3 linked regions of the Diceros bicornis minor genome follow. Each later gene encodes a partner of the first gene's protein in a complex. Links are inferred from orthologs where the notes say so. Each region holds a gene or a part of one and is shown on either strand. Other genes may lie near its edges.

Region 1 (7,198 bases):
GCCGTCACCCAGGCGTGAAAGGCCGGCTCTGCCCTCTGCCGTCGCGCAGTCCGGCTGAATGTGCAGCCTGGAGAGCCCATGTGGGAGCTGCAGGGCTAGCTGCCTCTGGGGACGGCAGGGCTGGGGAGAGCAGGGAGGGGCAGAGAGGGCCCCCAACCAGTGAGTGTCAGCCAAGGTGCAGGAGGAGACTGGTCCCCACAGAGCTGACAGTCTATTTGGAAGAGGTTTTCTAGAACCTTCCCTGGAAAGCAGCAGGGAGCCCCCAAGGCTGTTGAGCAGGGGAGGGACTGGTGAATTTGTCCTGATGCAGGTCTCCGTGATGCTTACAATCACTGTTGAGTTGTCCTAGTTTCCTTCAGCATGGAGGGCAGAGCTCACTGGGAATGGACTAGGGACCTGAAAAGAGGACAAAGACGAGAAGGCGCAGAAGAGACTCTGGGGAATCTGAGTTTGTGACCGACGTCCCCCCATCGGAAGAGACCTAGTCCCCTTCTGTCCCATAGGAAGGCCCTGCCCAGTGTTCAAGGCCTCAGGCTGCCCCTCAGTCTCCCCGTGGACGCACCACAAGCTCACTCATTCAGGGCACCCTGAGATCTGCCATGACGAGGAGGACACTAGTAGACAGACGGCACTTACAGGACACGGTGGACACACACGAGAGAGGGGAGTGGGCTCTGGGAGAATTCCTGGAGAAAATGACACCTGAGTTGATTCCGATAACCGCATGTGATGAGGGTTGGTGGCACTTAAATTCACAGGCCAATTGTTTCTACAACAACAGCTTCCTAGAGTCTGGGAAAGGCTGTGTGTAATTCAGTCCTGCCCTGACAGCCCAGCTTCCTGCCTGACCCTCCCTCTCGGTTACTCAGCAAGTATTCGTGCAGCATCTGTGACACGCCGGAAGCCGGGCCGGGCTCTGGGCACACAGAGGTCAAAGAATAGGCTCTTCTGTTAAGTGCCACCAAGGAGAAACCCAGGATGGTGTGAGAGGGTGCATCCTGGACCCTCGTGGACTAGAGCGTGGCAGGCTTGGTGACTGCCTCTCCACCAGCAGAGGGCTTTGAAAGTCCCCAAAGCCTGAGTTTCTCAGAGTCAAAGATGCACTTCCTTCAACAAAAAGCTGGATGCCTCTGTGGATTCATGGTTGCCACCGGTATTTGTACGGCTCATTCAACACGCAGTCTTTGAGCCCCCCAGATGCTAGGCCCTGGCAGGTATCAGCCATGAGACTTGATTCCCACTCAGAGGAAATGGTATCACGCGGCACTTTTTATAAGCCAGGCCCCGGAGGTGTTTTATGGTATATTTTTGTCTCATTTGATTCTCACAGATTATTAATCTCCTGTGAGGGATGTTTTAATTATCTCCATATATGAAAACCATGACCCAAGCTTTAAGGGGTGAGCCCAGGATTTGAGCCCCACTCTGAGTATCCTCTTCAGCAGCCGCACCACCTCCCCTCACGGTGCTTACATCCCCTTTGCGGGGGGGGGGGGGGGGGGGGGGACGGGGGGGCACAAAGGAGCCCGCAACACAAGGCCTTTCCTAATCATATATTCACTCTCCTCTTCTTCAGAAACGTTTCCCGAGACCCCTCTGCGGAGCTGGCACACTCCTAACAGCGGCCGTCAGTTCCCGGCCCCCCGGCCGCCTGGGGATCCCCAAGGCCGCGAGGAACGAGAACCGGGCGGGGGGCCGGGCATGGAGCCCCAGGGTTAGCGCCCGTGGGAGGCGCCCGCGCTGGGCCGCCGGAGGAGGCAGGTGCGGAGGAGCGCGAGGGCCCCGGAGTTCTGGGCGCCACGGGCTGGTTTGGAGGGTCCCCGCTGAGCCTCACGAGATGGGAGCGATGGCTCGCGTTAGGGAGACCGCGGAAGCCACCCCAAAGGGCGAAAAGGAGCCCTAGCAAGTCCGGTCCCCCAGAGCTGCTGCTGGCCATGTGACTCGTGCCCGCGGGCAGGACCGCGCAGACCCCAAGCAGCGGCGATCGGGGAGGGCACGCGGCACCATGAGCAATAACTTCTGCCGGGCCCTGGTGGACCGGCGGCCCATGGCGCCCCCCGGCTGCATGCAGCTGGGCGTCGCGCCCCCTCGGCGGCAGGCGCCCCTGCCACCCGCCGATCCCCTGGGCGGCGTGCCCCTCCTGCTGTACCCGGGGGCGGCCGAGCCGCCCTTCTACGAGGCCTACGCGGGCGTGTTCCCCTACGCGCCGTTCCCCGGCGCCTTCGGGGTCTACGACTGCCCCTTCGAGCCCGCCTTCATCCAGAAGCGCAACGAGCGCGAGCGGCAGCGGGTCAAGTGTGTGAACGAGGGCTACGCGCGCCTCCGCGGCCACCTGCCGGGCGCGCTGGCTGAGAAGCGGCTCAGCAAGGTGGAGACGCTGCGCGCCGCCATCCGCTACATCAAGCACCTGCAGGAGCTGCTGAGCGCGGCCCCCGACGGCGCGCCCCCCGCCGGCGCCCGGCCCCACGGCCCCGACGGCGCGCCCCCCGCCCTGGCGCCTGAGACTCCCGACGCCTCCCGCTTCGCCTCCGCGCCGCTCTTTGAGTCGGAGGAATCGGGCCACTGACCGCGCCGTGGCCGCCCGGGGCTCGGGGGTCCCCCGCAGTGCGGCGGGACCCTGACATTTGGAGATCCGCGGCGACACCCTCCCTCCCCCACCGCCACCACCGGCCTCCTCCCTTCCCGCTTGGGGCAGGGGTGCAGGGCAGGAGTACGAGGGGCGCTATAGAGACCCGGGAGCCCGGGGCTGCGGTGAGCGCGCAAGACCGGGGAAGCTCCGGATGGGCGCCGCGCCCCCCCCCCCCCAGGCCGCAGGAGGACAACCCGGGACGGTTGTCCCTGGGTCTGGCTCCGGCTCTGCTTCAGCCCCGCGCTGGGAAAGTGGGAACCCAGCTCCTGGTTGTGCACACCCAACCATGGTGGCCCTGCTCCGTCCTCCGTGGCCCCAGGCCCGGTGTCTGCCATCGCCGGGAGGCGAGCCGCGCTTTGGTTCGGATGTGCTATGCCCCGCTCTCCACCAGATGGCCTCCAAGGCTAGTGTCCTCTCGGGAGCTTGCGTGCCCCACCCCCGGAGAGGAGCCCAGAGCTGGAGGTGGGAGGCGGGACTGCTGCTTGCGCTCCGCCCAGGTGGAACCGACTGAGGGAGGAAGAGGACATCCGTGTACACGGGTGGCGCTCTCTGGCTGCCTCGATGGAGGGCGATCACCACCACCACCACCCCCAGGGTGCCCGTTTCCTCCTTTTTCCCTTGGGCCTGTAGTCTCTGTGGGCTGGGGAGGCATATGGATACATTGGCGCTGTGTTTGCTCCAAGGGGCTGAATAAAAGATTGCTGACTTTTGTGATTCCTAGGTGGTTGTGGACCCTCGTCTACCCCGCACCCCTACTCCTTCCTGCTCCCATCTCAGAGCACTTGCTGTGCGTGTGGGGGGTGTTCCCTTAGCTCACACGTGTGTGCCAGGGACAGTGCCTGGAGGGCCAGCGTCCCCGAGACACACACCACCCTGCACAGTTAGGCACAAAGTACAGTCACTACCCAGTGTGGCCGGTGCTGCTGGAGGTGTGCAGGTTCCAGGGTCTTCCGGAGCCTCCACCCCAGTGGGGAGAGGTGAGCTTCCCCTGCCATGCGTGTGCATGGGGGTGGCGGTGGGCAGGAGGCTTGGCCTGGGAGCTGCAGGTCCTGAGATGCGGGGCCGTGGAGCTGTGCTGAGCTGGGCCACCAGCACCTCGCCTGGCTGGTGCCACGGGGCAGGGGGCAGAAAGCTCAGCTGGGCCCGAGGGAGCCAGCCTGAAGTTTGAGGCTCCATATCCTAAGCTCCCCCTTCCCAAACTCTCTATCTCCCCTGCCTTGAACCCCTCCATCCTGTCTCTAGCTGCCCCATCAGTGCCCCATCCCAGGCCCGTGTGGAAGTTCCCTCCCCCTCGGGGACATATTGGGATGTCACTGGCTGGGCTGGGCAGGAATGACAGCTGCCTGGCCTCGGGTGTTTGGGCTGGCCAGAGAGAGCCGAGCGGAGGGTAATTTTACTCGCTGGGAGCAGGGAAAGTAATCCTCCAGCCCCCGCCCCGCTGGCTCAGCAGGGCAGGCTTGGCTGGCAGGCTTAGCCCGCCAGTCCCCAAGGCGGGGGCGCTGGGGACACAGGGAGGAGAGGGCAGTGGGGTGGGGGAGCCAGGAGAGCAAGGCTGCCAGGAGAGCCATGGAGCCGTCCTCGCCCCAGGATGAGGGCCTGAGGAAGAAGCAGCCCAAGAAGCCTGTTCCTGAGATTCTGCCCAGGCCGCCCCGGGCCTTGTTCTGCTTGACACTCCAGAACCCCTTGAGGAAGGCCTGCATCAGCATTGTGGAATGGAAGTATCCTTTAGGGCCAGGGCAGCAGGGAGGACATGGGTCGCGTGGGAGAGGGAGGCAGGGGGTGGTCACAGACTGCAAACTTTGGGAGCCAGGGGGACTGGGGACTTAGAGACGGGGTGGACTGCCCCAGACGGTGTGAGGAGCCTTTGGGAAGGAAGCCCTAACCGAGGGGGACCAGAGGAGGAGGAGGAGGAACTGATGGGCTTCTGGGGCCTGCGTGTGCAGCCCAAGTCCTGGGGGCAGCCTGAGATGCCCACTGACCGCTACGAAAGGGGCTGGGATGTTCCTCAGGGCTGTTCCCAGCTGATCCCAAATCCACGTTATTGTGGGGCACTTCTCTGGTTTTTGAAGCAGCAGCGCCCTTTTGATATAGGATGCGGAAGAAGAAAGCAGTGGCCTCTGCAAAAAAATCCCCCATCTCGATGGGAGGGGATAAAAGTGAAGAGGGAGGTGAGGGCCGAGGAAGGCTTCCACTCTTCCCCCAGGGAAAATCCCAGCCAGGATGGAGGAGAAATGGGCTGGAACGAGGCCGGCTGTGGAGGGCGCCCAGGAGCAGGCCTGGCTATTTTAGCTCAGACGCACCAGCCTGGGGTTGGGGGTTTGAAATCACTCTGTTTGCGTTAGCTATGGGAGGAAGAATGATGAAAATATCTGGGCTATTTGGGGAAGGGAGGAAGGAGCTAGAGAGAGGTGGGGAGGCCCATGTCCAGTGGGTCCTAAGAGAGAGGCTCAGAAACATTTGAAATATGTGGGAAGCGTTCTGGAAGAACAGGCTCCCGGCAGCTGTTCCCTGGAAGAAAGCAGAGCATGAGATAAGCAAGGGAAGAGTATAGGAAGGGAAAGAAGCACATAGGACCAGATTGGAATAGTTTGGGTCAGAGTCCGCCCTGCTCCCCAAGCTGCGCTCAGCCCGTTGGACCTCCCGCTGCCTCCCCTCCTGCCTGTCTTCTGGGGCTCCGTTCACCCAGCGGGCTCTCTCTCTCCTCCATCTCTGCTCCTCTGTGCCTTCTCCTCTCGCAGGCCTCTGTCCAGTGGCCACCTCTCTTCTCAAACACTGGAGGTTGCTGGGAAGGGAATGGGGTTTCCAATCAAGCCCATCGACACAGTGTGCTTCTCCCCACCCATCCACACACACACATACACACACACACCCGCACACTCTCCTCCGTTCCTTCCCTCCCCTCCTTCCACACCAGCTTCCCAGTGGTCAGCCTCTCTGATTGGCCCCTGCTGCTCACCAGCAGATCAAGAAAGGACTGGGCCGGGGCACCCTCTGGACATCGCTGTGTGGGGTGGGAGCGTCTGGGAGGGGCTGCGTGAGTGGGTTCGAGGTGTGCACACCAGCGTGCGGCACTGATCGGGTGGGTCATCCAGTCCCTCCTCGGGCTCTGAGATGCAGGCTCCATCTCTCTCTCTTCCCTTTCCCAGGCCTGCTCTGTGGGTACCTAGCCCAAACCTGCACCAGCCCACAGCCTCTCCTGCCATTTCTCTGAGTGAGCCCGCAGGTTGTCTGGCCGGAGCCTCAGAAAGTCCTGGCTCCTCTGGAGGACGCAGGTGGGAGCAGGGTTAGGGGCAGGCCTTAGAACAGAGGGTTAAGACTTCCCTGGACCTTAAAGCTGAGTAGCCCCCAGCCGGGGACCAGAGCTTCCTGGTCCCAAAGCATCTAAGTGGAAGTTAGCTGTTTCTGAGGAGAGGGAGACAAGATCCCCCCGGTGGGAGCCTGGCACTTTCTATACCCTGCAAGACTGTAGGGACAGAGCCCGTCAGCCCGGCATCACAGTCACAGTCCAGACTGACCCCCAGCACTCTCTTCCTCTTAACCCTGCAAACCCCACACTCTCCTTAACCCTAGAACCAGGCCCTTCGAGACAATCATCTTACTCACCATCTTTGCCAACTGCGTGGCCCTGGCCGTGTACCTGCCCATGCCGGAGGATGACAACAACGCTCTGAACCTCGGCCTGGTAAGATGGGGCCCCCCGGCCCCCCCTGCAGGCCTGCAGCCCAGGCGCGGGGAGACCCCCTTGGGGGACCGTGTGCTGGTGGGTGATGCTGGAGCTCCCACCCCCAGGATACAGGCCCCGCCCTCCCGCCCACCTGCAGGGCTGGCCAAGCGGCTCGACAGCTTTGCAGAGTGAACTCACTTCTTCTGGATCCCATGGTATTACCAGCCGGCACTGGACGAGCCCTCGCTGTGCCTGGGCACCGCGCTGAGCACCTTACAAGAGCCAGCTCACGTACTCCTCGAAACAGCCCCTTGGAGTAGGCCCATTTGACAGATGCGGAGGCTGAGGCTTAGCAAGGCCGGCTAGCAAGCGGTGGCAGCTGAGGGCTGACTCCCTTCCCTGGATATAATCCAGAGGAGCGGTGCTTCCACTAAGCTTCCTTCCTGGGAGGGTCTGGTCTCCAAATCCCGGGAGGACGTGTTTAGAGTCCTATACCTCCTCCTAGGCTCCGTCACCATAACACAGCGCAGAACCACAACCGCCAGAGCTAGGAGGGCTTTCCCAGAGTCAGGCCGTCCTGCCTCCTCCCCACCTCTCTCTTTTATGGGTGAGAAACCGGTGACTTGGTGGTTGAAGGGCTTCCTTACCCAAGAGCTGGATAATAACAGAAATGCTTCACACTTAGGAAGAGGCGTTAGGTGCGGGGCTCTGTGATAAGTGTTTTACCGAGCTGCCTTTTCTAATCCCCGGAATTACCCCTGCGGAGTCAGTGACAGTGTTAGACCCATCATGAGACAAGGACACAGGGTCAGAGAGGTGGGGACCTTGCCCGGGGTCACCCACACAGGTCTTCTCTTGGTCTCACACTTGGCCTCCCTGACTGTCAGACCTGCCGTGTCCTCGCT
Region 2 (7,088 bases), on another chromosome or scaffold:
AAAGATCCTCCTTTAACAATTTGGGACCCCCGATGCTCATCCCTCTAAAGTTCTAACCCTTAACAGCCCTCCACCTCCTTGTTTACTCCAAAGAGAAGACATTGCTGTTACCGTGGTAACAAATGCTTTGTGGGAGGGTAGGGGGAATGGACTAGAGAAAGAAAGTAGTGGCTTCAGGACACTCGCAGAGGCATAGGAGGTGGGGGGTGGGCAAAATGGCACAGGGCCTGGGGAAGGGCACCAGGGGCTGTGACCCACCCCACACCATGGCTGCTGTCAGCCCTATTTCCCCAGCCTCAAGGAGAAAAGGAACAGGCTAGAAGGGAATGTCTTCCTGGGAGGAGAGGTTTTCCTCGTGGAGGAGACCGAAGCATCCCAACCTCATTACCCTCCGACAGGAGAACAGGTCTCCTGGAGAGCCCGGCTTGGTGGGGGATGGGTGAGGGACTGCATGCACCGGAGCCCAGGTTGTTCCCCTCCAGGGAGCCTGGGGCACCGAGAGAGGGAACAGCTCACCCACAGCATGATAGGGACAGTGCCACCGGCAGTGGGGGGCGGCACTATGCCAGTGTCCCGAGCTCCAGGGGTTGGTGGCGGCAGGGGGTGGAGGGGCCCTCCTCCAGCCCCTGGGGACCTGGCTGTCCCAGATGCCACAGTCGGGAAGTGTGTCAGGCACTTGCGTAAGAGGCTTCTATATTTTCATAAAATCGTAATTACCGATACCAGCCATGGGCCTTAGCTCATTAGAGAGGTATCTGCCTCTGCGGCTCTGGGGTGGGCTGGCAGGGGGACATAGGGGAGACTGGGCAAGGCCAGGCCTCTCACTGCATTCTCTGCATCCCCACTGCAGCCCCACTGAGCCTGGGCCTTCTTCCTCTCCCCAGCTGGGAGATGAGAATTCAGACTTGGCCTCAACCATGACAGGCTCCCCCACCCTAGGAGCCCTGATTCTAAAGCTGGAGAGAAAGGCCAGCCACTCATGTTTTCAGCTTGGGCTGCCCTTGGCAACCCATGGGAGCAGAGGCCACAGCAGGAAGGAGATTGACCTGAAAGTGCTTATGGGAGGAAATAGGTCAGTCCTCAGGGAAGGAGATGTGATCCTCCACATCAGAGAATCTCGACCACTCAGAGTGGAGGGGACCCTGGGGGTCATTCAGACCAGTGGCACTTAACCTTTTGGGCTCTTAGAGTCTCTAAGGAGCAGATGAATCTCTGGACTCTCCCCCAGAAAATGCTTATCCTCCAAATTTTTACACAGCTTCAAGGAGTTCATGAATTCCCTGAAGCTCACCTGCAAGCTCAAGGTTAAGGATGCATAATAATAATAATAACTATTTATTGTGCACTTACTCTGCCCAGATCTCTATATATACTAACTCATTTAATCCTCAAAAGAACGCTAAGAGGTGTACAATTATTGTCCCCATTTCAATCCAACTCCCCATTTCTACCTGATCTAGTCCAATTCTGCCAATCTAAAAAGAAAACCATAGTCCCTCCAGCCCAAGGTCACAGAACAGGAAGAAAAATCAGATCAGAATGGGGACCAGGCTCTCTTAACATGCTGGACATTGTGCTGCACACAGATTCGAAGTTATCTCGTCCATCCTTCTGTCCCCGGGCTCCAGAGAGCCCAGCGCCCCCTCTGGTTCACTCGGCTCTCCTAGTAAGAGGCACCCCAGTAGCCCATTAGACTTCTGGTCTACAGAGCCCTTCTGAGAGTGTGACTGCCGCTTTTCCCTCTGTAGGATCTTGCTCCTTGCTCGGCTCATCCCTCATTTCTGCCCTCTGAACTTGAGATGGGACAATGTTCCTCCTTCCCCAGGAGGAGCTAGCCTGGCTGCTCCTGCCTTGTCCCTAGCCACTGCAGTGGGAGTTGTCGGCACTGAGACAATGACTCAGACTTAGTTCATGAAAGACAGCTCTGAAACATCAAGGCTGTGAGCCAGAAAGGACATCCAGAGGTCATGGGATCCAGCCCACTGCCTCCTCCACATCTGTCCCACCTCAGGCTTCTGATGTGAGACCAGATGGGCCCCAGGGCCCACCAACTTTCCTGCCTTTCCTTGGTCACTGGTGACACTGATTCCCCTGGGAATGCTTCCCCGTGTCGAGACTCTCCTTCTGTGTCCACTCCCCGTGGAATAACAGGCTCCAAATGGCCCAGGAACGTGAGGGAAGGAAGCTGTTTCTTCTCTCTGCCTCAGAGAAAGCACTGGGAAACGACAAGCTTCCAGAAGAAAGGAGGGAAAGAAGAAAATAACTTTCCCTGCCTGTCTTTCCCAGGCTAAGTGGCATCCTGCACTATCTCATTCATTCACCTAAGGGTGAGGGAGGCACAATCTCCGTTTTGCTTATGAAGACATCAAGGGTCTGAAAAGTTTAATTACCTACCCAAGGTCACACAGTTAATTTGTGACTATACAGTTATTGGACTTTAAGGAAACTTGAGCCCCGGCTCTTTGGGGAGAAACAGGAGTACCTCTTCCCGGGGGGTCACCAAACACAGAAGTCCCTGTTTACTCCAGCCCAGGATAGATGGAGGGCCTGATGACCCTACCTCAGGTTGCTCCGAGCATCCCTAAGACTGAGTTGCCCAGGGAGGGGACATTGGGCTGAGCTGGGCTGGGCAAGAGGGAGGAGGGCAGTCCTCAAAGGGGATTGGGAGAAGGCTGGTAACGAATGGGCCTTTGGAGAAACTGGTCCGAGGGCTGAGGCCAGGTTCTATTGAAGCTCCTTTCAGGAAAGCTAGCACCCAGAGAGTCTGCAGCTGCAGTGGATGGGTCTGGAGAGGGAGGGAACAAAGCGCCCACAACCACAAACCCTCGTGTCTTCCCTTGTCCTACTTCTGCCACTGGCAAATAAATATATATTCCTAGACACAGTAACCTGAGCAGTGCTCCAATGGTGAGCTCATCCTTGGAAAGACGGAGATGGCATGAATGGCTATGTGCACAGGGTGGGGAGTGGGGGAACGCAGGGTTCAACATCTGTCTTCCAGGGCTGGCCTAAAAGCAGGACCCTCTGGAGTGCCACCCCCACCCCCCATCTCATCACCTACAGCAGATTGAGGAGGAGGGAGACTTAGACCCAGAAGTCTCTCCACCCACACTCAGGGAAGGATTCTCTCAACTCCCAACCTATATCCCTGTGGACAAGCCAAGAGATGAAGCTAGACCTTTTGGTCAGGGCCAGAGGGGGCAGGAGGTGAGGGAGGAGGACTTGGGGAAATGGCAGGTAAGCAACATGCATTAGAAGAGGTACCTTCAGGCCAAGTGGACAGAGGACACCTTGGAGGGTAAGAACCCTCTTCTCCCCACCTCTCCCTACCTGCTGATCTAACTCCATTTGTGGTAGGATCTTTAGGGGGGAGGCATGTCTTGAGGTGGTTTGGGGACTTCAGGTGTGGGGATTGAGGCTCTTTCTCTGCTGAAGTCCAGACACCAAGACTGGAAAGGAATACAGTTGTCCCACTTTCCGTCCACAAAGTAGGGTTTGTCAGGCCTGGTCTTTGACACATGATAAGTTGTCCTTTCTCTCCTTAAGGAAACCCCTACCTCATAGTCCAGGGGTGTGTATATCTGGAGAGAGCCTCTCCAGGGCAGAGAGACATCCAGTTAACGGGGCACAAGTGTCCCCATTCTTCCTCCACTTCGCTTTCAGGAAGTCCTAACTTTGATTTCATTCTCAGCTATCCTTCTGCAGATCCAACCTATTTCTATTTCCCCCGACCCCATCCACACTCAAATACGATCTCCGGAGCGTTCCTTCAACCTTGTCACGCCCCCCACTCCCCCTCTTCCGAGGTTTTTCCGTGTAAAACTGTCCCCTCCACTTCTTTACCCTCCAAGCCCCTCCCCATCTTGTCGAGCCCCCACAGGCTCCGCCCAGCTCGCCCTCCTGGCCACGGCAGCAGCCAATAACTGAGAACCTGATTTGCATAGCGGCGCCGTGGGGGAGCAGCGGAGGCAAGGGGGAGGGACCAGGCGACCTCCTAAATCAAAGTTGGGAGGCGAGAACTGGGCGGAGGGCCCGCGGGTGCCGGGTTGGGCCCGGCGGGGGGAGGGGCAGGGGGATGGGGGGCGGGCGCAGAGGACCGCGGAGCCGGCCGGACACGGACAGCTCCGTCGCTCCCTCCCTCGGCTCATCCCTGCGTCCCCACTTCCCTCCTCCCCTCGCTCTGAGCAGCATCCTCTGCACACCCTCGGTCCTCACTCCCGCGTTCGTCCGGCTCCCGCGGCTCCGTGTAATTGCCTCCTCTCACCGGCCAACCCCGGAACTTTCTCCACCCGGGCCCAGGAGTCGGGGGTGGCTTCGCCAGGGCGGGTTTCAACTAGGGTTCATTGGGGGGCAATCTCTGGAGAAGGGCTTCAAGGTCCCAGAGAGACGCCCACCACCCGCAACCTGCCCCCATCGGGCCTGCCGTCGGGCCTAGGCACCCTCTCGCCCCTTCTACCCCAACCATGACCGAAATGAGCGAGAAGGAGAACGAACCGGATGACGCGGCCACCCACACACCCCCGGGGACCGGCTCTGCCCTCCAGGAAACCAAGGTAACTCGGGAGTCACAAGGCCTGGGCCCCTTGCCCGGTGCGCCCCTGGCCCCCGCGCCCTCTTCCAGACGCGGTCGCCACTGTGGGCTCAGGTGCCCTGGGTCACGGTAGCGGGGCCCCTGTGATCCCTAAGGCTCCGCGTGGCCACTTGGGGGGAGTGGGTTCGCGACGAGGGGCCACAAGGAGCCCCCATCACACAAGCACGACACGCCCTTGCGCGCGTGATGAGCGGACGCGCTACCGTGACCCTCCAGGGAGGTGGGAACTGGTCTTTGTTGGAGGGAATCGGCGCAGCGAAGGCGGAGGGAGTGTGTAGCGGTGTGTAGCGGGTTTGGGACGGTGTACGCGCTGTGTGTGCGTGCGAGGCGCACCCCTCCCGTGTCCGCCAGGTCTCTGTCTGTAGCTCAGTCTGTCCCTCTCCCTTTGCCTGTGTCTCTCTGAAAATGTCTCTACAACCTGTTTGTCTCTGTCTTGGTGTCTCTCTCTGTGCGTCTCTCCCGGGTTCTCTCGGCGTCTCTATGTGTTTATCGGAGTCTCTCTGGACGTCTCTCTCTGACCCGCCGCAGTCCTGCGTTTCCCCGCTCCCAACCGGGCTATGCTCGGGGACGTGAGGCCGCGGCCCAGGGGTACGCAGCTCCGAGTCCGCGCTGGGGGCTGCGGCAGCGCGGCCCATCGCGGGCGGGGACCGGGGGACTGTTGCGGCTCTAGAGCAGAGATAGGCAGCCCCACCCCCCACCCCGGGAGCGGGACGGGGGGGGGGGTTGAAGCAAAAAGAGAAGTCATCATAATTAACGAATGTCATAATTAACCCTAATTATGTATGATTGTTACTCCTGCGGGAGTCACAATGAATAAATTATTCCCCAGTGAAGTCAGGCAGAGCCCAGACTCCTGGCGCTGAAGGGGGTGGGGGGAGAACGCCGCTCACATTCAACGCCTCCCCCCATCTCTAATCTGTCCGCTCCCTCCCCAAGTTCCAGGTTTTCGCTACTGACCCGCAAGAAGTTCTGCGGGAGCAACCTGAGCGGGCTGGGGATGAGGAGAGAAGCGGCTGTGTCAAGGGTGCTCCCTGTCCCCTCCCCAGACTTCAGGCTGAGACCTCATTCCCTGTCCCTTCCACCAGGAGTTTTGTTCTCACTCTGCTCCTGTCCTCCAGATGAGGAGGGGGACAGGGAAAACCAGAAATGGGTGGGGTCTTTGGCTCCCCCTGGTATCACTTGCTCATCTACAGCTCTTTCCATGTCCATCTTCCTCCTCATTCTGTCTTGACCATCCCCCAAGATATGAGGTTAATTCAAGGTCAAGGTCATCAATGGGGAGATAAGTAGGACCAGGGTGGGGTCTGGCTGAGACACTCCAGCTACCTCCCCATCCCTAAACCAGAGGGACCCAGCGGGTCTCCATGTACAGGTCTCCAGATCCGCACTTGACCTTCTCCTGGCCCCTTCAGAGAACGAGCCCCTGGGGTCTCAGACAACAGAGTCAACTCCCCCTCAGAGAGCCAAGTCTCTACTGGGAAAGAGTTGTTGGGATGGGAGGTTATTGCTTGGCAGTCGTGACAGCTTCTTTCAAGCAGAGGGTCCCAAGAGCTGAGCCCCATCCTAATTTCCAATGCCCCTAACCTTCTCAGTTGCTCTCTAGTTGCCCTAGACAGACATACACAATCCCCCTGCTTGCTTCCCAGAGGCTTGGGGGCATCCCAGGCCCTGCTCTGCTTCCCACGCCAAGGCCTGACCTCTCTGCCCCCTCCTTAAGAGCTCTCTGAAAGCAGGCAGGAGCTGGGCAGTGCTGCCTTAGCAATCAGCAGGCTGCAAGCTCAGCTGCGTGGGGAGGGCGCGGTCAGAGCCTGGCAGTTCTGTACCTCTCTCCCCCCAGCCCAAGGGCCCTGCAGTGCCATTACCTCTGGGTCTGAGCCCTGGAGATCCAAGGAGCAGGGGAGGAGGGGGATGCACACCTGACCTGGCCCCTCTGTGCCAGGCCAGTTGGAGCCCTGCCCCTTTGCCGCCCTCCCCCCAGCCTTGTGAAGGACTCAGTAATAACAATACAGGCCGACCTGGGGTCTGGGAGGGTGGTACTCGGGATGGCAGAGGAGGGGAGAGAGAGAATTCAGGGCCCTTGCCAGCCTCCTTTCATGCCCCCACCTCAACCTGTTCCCAAAGAAGTCTCTGTCTCCAGACTGTAGGGGTGAGGGAGAGGGAAGGAAGTGGGTTGGTTGCTGCCCACCCAGCTCAGTTTGAGGCAGGTACAACAGAGGGGGCTGGTGCCCATCAGGCAATGAAGCCAATATTCTAGGCTTATTCATCAGCGTTTGGGGCCCCGTGCGCATTTCTTGCCTGCCCATGTCCAGCCTCCTGCCCACCTTAAGGTTAGGGCTCACGCCTATAACCAAGCTACTCAGCGACCCTGCTAGTGTCGACATCGCCTTCTCTGCGTCCCCATCCCATCCTACCACATAGGGCCTGCCACCACCTGCTTTGGTGCCATCCTTGGGAAGACCCTGCCCTGCCAGCTCTGCCATCTGAGCTTGTGCCAGGT
Region 3 (7,131 bases), on another chromosome or scaffold:
GATGGTGGGGGGTTGGGCTGATTTGGGGAGGGAGGAAAGGGCTGAGTGGGAAAAGCCAGGCTTTTGAGGACACTGTATACAGCCTTGGTCAGCCAGCCGCTGTCCAGTCCTCCCTGCTTTGCACCTCTCACAACCATGTCCTCTCTCCTCCCCTTCCAGTCCTGGGGCGGGTGCTGGAGGTGACAGATCTCCCTGAGGGCATCACCCGTACAGAGGCGGACAAACTCTTCACTCAGCTTGCCATGTCCGGCGCCAAGATCCAGTGGCTCAAGGATGCTCAGGGGCTGCCTGGCGGGGGTGGGGGGGACAACAGTGGGACTGCCGAGAACGGCCGCCACGCGGACCTCGCTGCCTTGTACACCATCGTGGCTGTGTTCCCCAGCCCCCTGGCTGCTCAAAATGCCTCCCTTCGCCTCAACAACTCTGTGAGTCGCTTCAAACTTCGAGTGGCCAAAAAGAACTATGACCTGAGGATCCTGGAGCGAGCCAGCTCCCAATAAACGGAGGAGGGGAAGGGACTGGCCTGGTGGGGGTGGAGGCAGGTTGGAGAGTTGAGGCATCCTGACAGACCACAGACAGAGGCAGAAAGTAAGGTGACAGACACTAAACTGGAGCCTAAGGCAGGAGAGATGAAGATGGGATCAGAGACCCTCACAATGGCACTGGGCTCCTTGCTCCCCTGTCATGGGTCCCCTCTTTTTCTCTGGTTGGCCCCCCTCTGCTTCCCTCTCCTTCCCATCCTCTTCTGTCATTTTTTTATCTCTTTGCCCACCGTGAAATTAATTTATTTCATATTTTTGGTCAGGTAGAATTGGGAGGGTCCCACACTCCCCTCTTCTCCTATTTCTGTACCATCCCAAGCTCCCTTTTCTTTTTTGGTCTTTACGAATATATTTATATGGACAGAATTAAGAAAAATGAAATTGATTTCCCCTTTCTCTCACTTCCCCCATCTTGTCTCCCTAAACCCCACAGAGTTAAAAACTTGGGCCTCCCCCCCACAGAACACTTGTATATTGTTTGTTTGAGGTTCGTGCCGCAGTAACAGACACAGTATTTAATTGCACATACAGATGTTTGCTGGGTATATTCACTGTAAATTTATTTAATCTGATTTTTTGTTTGGGGGGGTTATCTGGGGAGAGGTTGATTTTGTTTTTAAATATAAAAAAAAAAAAAAAATCTGTCACTTGACGTCAGTCCCTGTTTCTCTCTTGCCGCCCTGGTGTGGGTGGGGGTTGGAGGTCCTGGGTAGGTACAGCCCCACAGCTGTTGGAGGGATTTGATGTGGGTTGGGATGGCTTTCCCTAGCATATGCACACATATCTTCCTAACACTGTTCCCTGTGTCCCTTCCTCCTCCTTGCACATAATATTCTGATAGATGGCTGGGTCTCTAATGGGACCTTGGGTTCTGGGCTCTCCCAACTCAGCCACTAACTGTGGTTCATCAGGCACGTCACTTTTCCTTTCTGGACCTCTGACTCCTTTATCAGTACAATAAAAGACTTGGACTGACTGGGTGACCTCTAAGATTCCTTCCACTCTGTTAAGTCTGTGATACTCATTTAGGGCCCTCATGGCTGAGCTGGGGAGGGGTGAGTGAGGTCCAGAAATGAGTTGAGATGCTGCCTCATACCTGTCCCTCTAATCTTCTGAAAACTCTTCAGGGATGGAGGACTTGGGCCTTTCTTTAATCCTAAAGCCAGAGGATTGAGTTTTACCTGGTAGGAACAGAGGTAGATGTTTCTTACAATAAAAGCTACATCAATTGAACTTGCAGTGCCAAGATGCCATGTTATCCAGGCGTGCTCAGCGGTCCGTGGCCTATGCAGCTGAAGAATGGTGAAGAGCAGAAGTCACTTGCTTGCAAGATGGAGCTTTTCCTCACTCTGAGGCTTCTTAAAGCTAGCCCTGTTGTGCAGAGGGTCAGACCAGGGCCGTTAAAGAACCTGTAGACCCAGAACCTCCAAGCAGCCCCTTTTCAATCTCACCCACTCCTTAAAGAGAAAAAAGAGCAGTGGTAGAAATGACCGAGCACCTTGCCCTGGAAATCTCTTGGGTCTGGGTAGCCGCATCTCTAGCCAGTCCCTTCTGAAGCTTGTCTGACCCAACCTGCAATGTAATCCTTTACTTCTTACAGATACAAGGCATAAAGCAGCACTACAGTACCAGCTCCAAATCGCTCTCCTCTGAGATGGAGTACCTCCTCTTTCAGCCATGTCGCAGCCCAGGGTAGGGGAAGGCTGCATCCCTGTGAGATAAGAATGCCAGATATCTCACTGACCCAGCAGTTCGTATACCTGGGGCATCAGAGGAGGGCGATGGAATCAGAACCAAAGTGATTTAGGAAGTGTGAGGCTTGGCCCTCCTACCTCCAAGAGTCGAGTCTGCAGTTCTCATGGGGAAGGAGACATTACTTACAGATGATAACTCCCCATGTGGCAGCTCTTGCCTTCTGTCCAATGTTAAGAGGACCATCTCTACGTGATTGTTAGACCCTCACCCCCCCAGAACCCCTCAGATGGAAGTCCCAGCCTGGCTTTTTTTAGTAACTCTTAGAATTCCCTTCACCCTGAGGACAAGATTTTAGAGGAATCCGGGGAAAGATGTCTCTGGGGGCAGCTGGAGGGAACAAAGCGGTACTACATGTTCCTCACTCCCTTACAGGATGGCAGCAAGTTGCCCCTCCAGCCACCACGGATAGGAGAGCAGTCTCCTCTGGCTGATAGGAGAGCTCTGAGAATGCAAATTTCCCTGTCTTCACCCGTCCCCAGCCCTTCCCTTCCTAAAAGTTTGAGGCTAGATTGATGCTTGAGAGTATAAAAATACATGGCCACATGAAGACAATGGCTGAGAGGTTCCTAAAGTAGGTCCAGAGAGGGTAGAATTTTAGATGACTACCTTCCTTCATCTAAAATCACCCAAATGAGGATGCAGCATGAACACCGTCCCTTCCTGAATTTAGCCGTTACTGACCTACACACTGTGGATGAAAAACCAGGGAACAGCAGCTCTGGGGGATGGGAGGACTTAGGGTCCAGCCCTGCCCAGGCCACCCCGTGTCCAATTTCTCTGTGTCAGCTGTGTCACTCAGCTGTCCACTTTGCTCCAGCCCTGTCATTTCAGCTCTGACACCAAGGCGAGAGGCTAAGAGGTCTACAAATACCGTCTGGGTAGCTGGTGTGAGTACACAGGGTAGTGGGGGGGCTTAGCCCCCAAGGAAGAAGACCAGTCCTCCCCCAGCACCACCATCAAGACCCCAGGTGCTCCCTCCTCCCTCCACAGACTCTGGACTGACTAGGGAATCCCAAACGTAAGTTGCCTTGTCATCCTCTTCCCATTTCCAGGACTGCTTACCCCAGCTTCCCCAATCCGTAGTCTGTTCAGCTTATTTCTCTCCTCCTCTGTGAGTAGTTTGGGTTTTAGGAGTGAAATTTATTATTCTACTCCAGAACAAGAGTTAGGATTGGAAGGTGGGGTGGGGGTGGGGTCAAGGTAATGGAGTAGTAAGGGAAGGAAAGGCTCATATTACTCTGAAAACTTAAAATAGCTGAGGGCTGAGGCAGGCTGGGAACTAAGCACTGGGCCCCTGGGGCTCAAGAAAGAGGGGAGAACAAATGTCCCCAGCCCATCCCATCATGCATGCTATGGACACACACATTAAACTTGCTGAAGAAAGGGGATCTGGGAAGGTGTATGTCATGTCTCTACTGCACACAAAGTACCTGTAGGAAATGCCCTAAACCGTACAGACTTGAGCACTGTGTTGGGGCTGTAAACTCGGGTTGTCCCTCAGGGTGGAAGGATGGGTATCAGTTTGAGGAACTGGTTGGGAAGTTCTTGAGTCTGTTGGGCTTTTCTCTGGACTTCCGTGGAAACTTTCTGTTCATAAGCCTGTGAAAGGATCCCTGTTTAACCAAATTTCCCCTGAAGCCTCCTCTTCAAGGACCACCCTACTGTGAGGGACAGGAATAGGGAGGGAAGAATGGCAGGCAGAGGTGACATTTCATAGTGGGGTCTGACCTCTTGCAGGATGACAGAGAAGGAGGTGCTGGAGTCCCCTAAGCCCCCCTTCCCAGCAGAGACTCGGCAAAGTGGGGTGAGTCTGGGCCTCTGACCACCAGCTGTGGGGAGCTGGGAAGCCATGGCAACCCTTGATGAAAAGCGCTTGAGTTGATCTCACTAGTATGTGACTCATTTATTGTTAGAATGCTAGCCAGCACCTGCAGCCCCCAATACCCCCCAATGCTGGGCTGTGCCCCTTGCCCGAGGCTAGAAAAATGTCTAGTCAGCTTCCACCTTACCTCCTCTAGAAAGCATGACAGTTCTTTTAACATTGGGTTTCCTTCCCTCCTTCCCTGCCTCCCTCAGCTACAGCGGCTGAAGCAGTTATTCAGGAAGGAGTCCACAGTGACAAAGGAGATGGAGCTGCCCCCAGAGCCCCAGGCTAATGGGGAGGCAGTGGGAGCTGGGGCTGGGCCCATCTACTACATCTATGAGGAAGAGGAGGAGGAAGAGGAGGAGGAGGAGCCACCCCCAGAACCTCCTAAGCTTGTCAATGATAAGCCCCACAAATTCAAAGATCATTTCTTCAAGAAGCCCAAGTTCTGTGATGTCTGTGCCCGGATGATTGTGCGTGAGTCTTGAAGGGAAGTGGAGAGAGTGTGATGTCGAAGGCAGGGGGCGGGGACAGAGTTTAGGAGAGGGGTATTTGTATCACAGACAGGCTTTGGCATGATTTTGGCTTTAAGAAAATACTATTAGAGACTGAGAATGTTGGCTCCCAGACAGAAAAGGGACTAAGAGCTCGAGGAGCAGCTGTGGCATGAGGGAAGGGAGCTCAGGGACCTCACCCAAACATTCTCCCCTCTCCCAAGTCAACAACAAATTTGGGCTTCGCTGCAAGAACTGCAAAACTAACATCCACGAACACTGTCAGTCCTACGTGGAAATGCAGAGGTGCTTCGGGAAGATCGTGAGTAGACCTTGGGAGCAAGAAAGTAGAAGGGAGGGGCGTGTTGCCAGCTACCCTCTTGCCAGTCCCTCCTCAAGTCATCCCGTCCATTTCCCTGCTGCTTCTTTCTCAGCCCATCTCTTACTCTAAGAAGAGGTGAGCACTCATGGGAGAGATGGGTTCTGGGCCCTTCCTTGCTATCTCTAATGTTTTCTCCCATCCCCTCCTACAGCCCCCTGGTTTCCATCGGGCCTATAGCTCCCCACTCTACAGCAACCAGCAGTACGCTTGTGTCAAAGATCTCTGTAAGTGCCCCCTATGGGACCTGAGGGAACGGGCAAGCCTAGAGACCGTGTCAGCACCACCTTTAGATTTGGAAGCAAATTCTGAAACAGAAAGATCCTATTTCACAAGATTGTCTCTCAAGCTAAACTTTTAGCCATCTTGGATGCAGTCAATATTCCCATTTTATAGCTGAGGGAGATAAGATTTAGCTAGGGCTTCACACAGATAACAAGAGACAGAGCCAAGACTGAAACCTTCATCTGCCTAACTTCAAAATCTGTGCTCTTCATATATGAAACCATTTCTAAGCAAGAACAAGGATTTTAGACTCTCTACATCCTGGTTACAGAATAATGCCAAACTCAAAGCCAGACCAAGAGCTGTGAGCATCCTGGGCAGATTCATAATTTGGCAACCCTTCAAAAAGTATTCATTGACAATTTCTCAAGATTTATTTGGAGGAGAGGCTGAACTCTGTGAGGAGCATGGGTGGAAAAAGAAGAACCCACCGGTGTTAGCATCCCCGCTTACACATGCCACTCAGCAGAACAAAAGCCAGCAGTTAAAAGACCACTCTCCTTAGAAGGAGAATAGTGATTCTGAGGATTCCCCAACTCCCAAGCAGCATGTTAGCAAAGCTGTCTTTCCAACATCATATAATGCTCTGCCTAGAAGGAGTGCTGGTAAACATTTTTCTCTATCACATTACATTTCCAGGGATATTTTTAGAGCTCTTTATAGATTGATGACCTAGGTAGCCCAGCTGACCCTTCCCTAATCCTACACAAACATGCGCACATGCATGCATGTCTATCTGCTCAGTCCCACCTCTCCCTTACTTAGGAGGTCTCTCTTTCCTTCAAGCCTTTCTCTGCCTCCGCAGTAATGTCTTCTTTCTTTTCCCATTCCCGCTAGCTGCTGCCAATCGCAATGACCCTGTGTTTGAAACCCTGCGCACTGGGGTGATCATGGCAAACAAGGAACGGAAGAAGGGACAGGCAGATAAGAAGAATGTGAGCACCATACCTTCCTACTGAGGTCCCTTCCAGAGACCCTGTGGAGCAGGTCCTCCCTCCTCTCTGGAAAGCTGACAGAAGCTAGGGATCCTCTCCCTCTAAAATTGCACATAACCCAACAGATACATTTTTGTGTGCAATTTTAGAGGGCCTCAGGTTAACAACTCCTGCCATAGTGTGTTTTCTCCAGGAACTCCCTTCTGAAATTGTCAGATTAACCACCAACAAACTGAAGCCTAGGCCCCAGGCCCCTGGCATTGCTGGGCACCAGAGACAAGAGCAATGCTTTTGGATTTGGGAAAGAGAACTTGCCATGCCACGTAATCAGAGAATTTTAGAGCCATGCAAGGGTCCATGAAGATCATCTGGTCTGACCCATTTCCTATAGATAAGGAAACTGAGGCACAAAGCTAGTGGCCAAGAGCAACTTTACTTCCTTTTGTAATAGGGTTACTAGATCAGTAATGCCATAGACTTGCACTCAGTTCAGCAAGGAATTTGTTAGTGTATCCTTGTATTTTTCTGTACAACCAGATGGACCAATGTGGATAATGGTTACAGTTGGATGGATTCCTAAAATTGGTTGCATGACAGTAACCAAAGGATCCTGGTCCTTTAGGAAGTGTCCAGTGAGAGGGAGATTTCTGATGCCTTATAACATGATTCGGTCCTTGGTCCCACCTATGGAAATTTTTCTCACTGATGCAAATGAAGATATAAATGGTATATCCAGGGGCTGGCCCTGTGGCGTAGCAGTTAAGTGCATGAGCTCCGCCGCTGGTGATCCGGGTTCGGATCCCGGGCACACACTGATGCACCACTTGTCAGGCCATGCTGGCACAGATGTTAGCCCAGGGCCAGTCTTCCTCAGCAA

Evidence for each region. Proteins that work in one complex are often made in the same cells at the same time.
Region 2: the proteins of CACNA1S (region 1) and STAC2 are in contact, whole or in part, in a crystal structure (PDB 6B27), measured with the Homo sapiens proteins. The link is inferred for Diceros bicornis minor from reciprocal best matches to the Homo sapiens genes CACNA1S and STAC2. Residues at the interface, in NP_000060.2 of Homo sapiens: Glu749, Pro750, Glu751, Ile752, Pro753, Ser755, Pro756, Arg757, Pro758; in NP_945344.1 of Homo sapiens: Tyr301, Lys302, Phe303, Gln306, Glu307, Asp310, Asn326, Asp328, Trp329, Phe340, Pro342, Asn344, Phe345.
Region 3: CACNA1S (region 1) and STAC3 share a complex: the UniProt entries of both Homo sapiens proteins name them as parts of the calcium channel complex. The link is inferred for Diceros bicornis minor from reciprocal best matches to the Homo sapiens genes CACNA1S and STAC3.

What each region holds. Positions count from the first base shown.
Region 1 is NC_080777.1:29,420,831-29,428,028, reverse strand, and holds the start of CACNA1S (voltage-dependent L-type calcium channel subunit alpha-1S), read left to right. Parts: upstream 1-4,195; coding exon 4,196-4,347; intron 4,348-6,205; coding exon 6,206-6,311; intron 6,312-7,198. Other genes in the region: ASCL5 (achaete-scute homolog 5), read left to right, coding at 2,006-2,566. UniProt on the Homo sapiens protein: Pore-forming, alpha-1S subunit of the voltage-gated calcium channel that gives rise to L-type calcium currents in skeletal muscle.
Region 2 is NC_080757.1:39,006,175-39,013,262, reverse strand, and holds the start of STAC2 (SH3 and cysteine-rich domain-containing protein 2), read left to right. Parts: upstream 1-4,072; 5' UTR 4,073-4,246; intron 4,247-4,435; 5' UTR 4,436-4,463; coding exon 4,464-4,553; intron 4,554-7,088. UniProt on the Homo sapiens protein: Plays a redundant role in promoting the expression of calcium channel CACNA1S at the cell membrane, and thereby contributes to increased channel activity. Slows down the inactivation rate of the calcium channel CACNA1C.
Region 3 is NC_080756.1:11,652,999-11,660,129, forward strand, and holds the start of STAC3 (SH3 and cysteine-rich domain-containing protein 3), read left to right. Parts: upstream 1-4,115; 5' UTR 4,116-4,211; coding exon 4,212-4,638; intron 4,639-4,879; coding exon 4,880-4,977; exon of another isoform or gene 4,978-5,122; coding exon of another isoform or gene 5,123-5,188; coding exon 5,189-5,261; intron 5,262-6,156; coding exon 6,157-6,254; intron 6,255-7,131. Other genes in the region: R3HDM2 (R3H domain-containing protein 2), read left to right, coding at 160-500. UniProt on the Homo sapiens protein: Required for normal excitation-contraction coupling in skeletal muscle and for normal muscle contraction in response to membrane depolarization. Required for normal Ca(2+) release from the sarcplasmic reticulum, which ultimately leads to muscle contraction.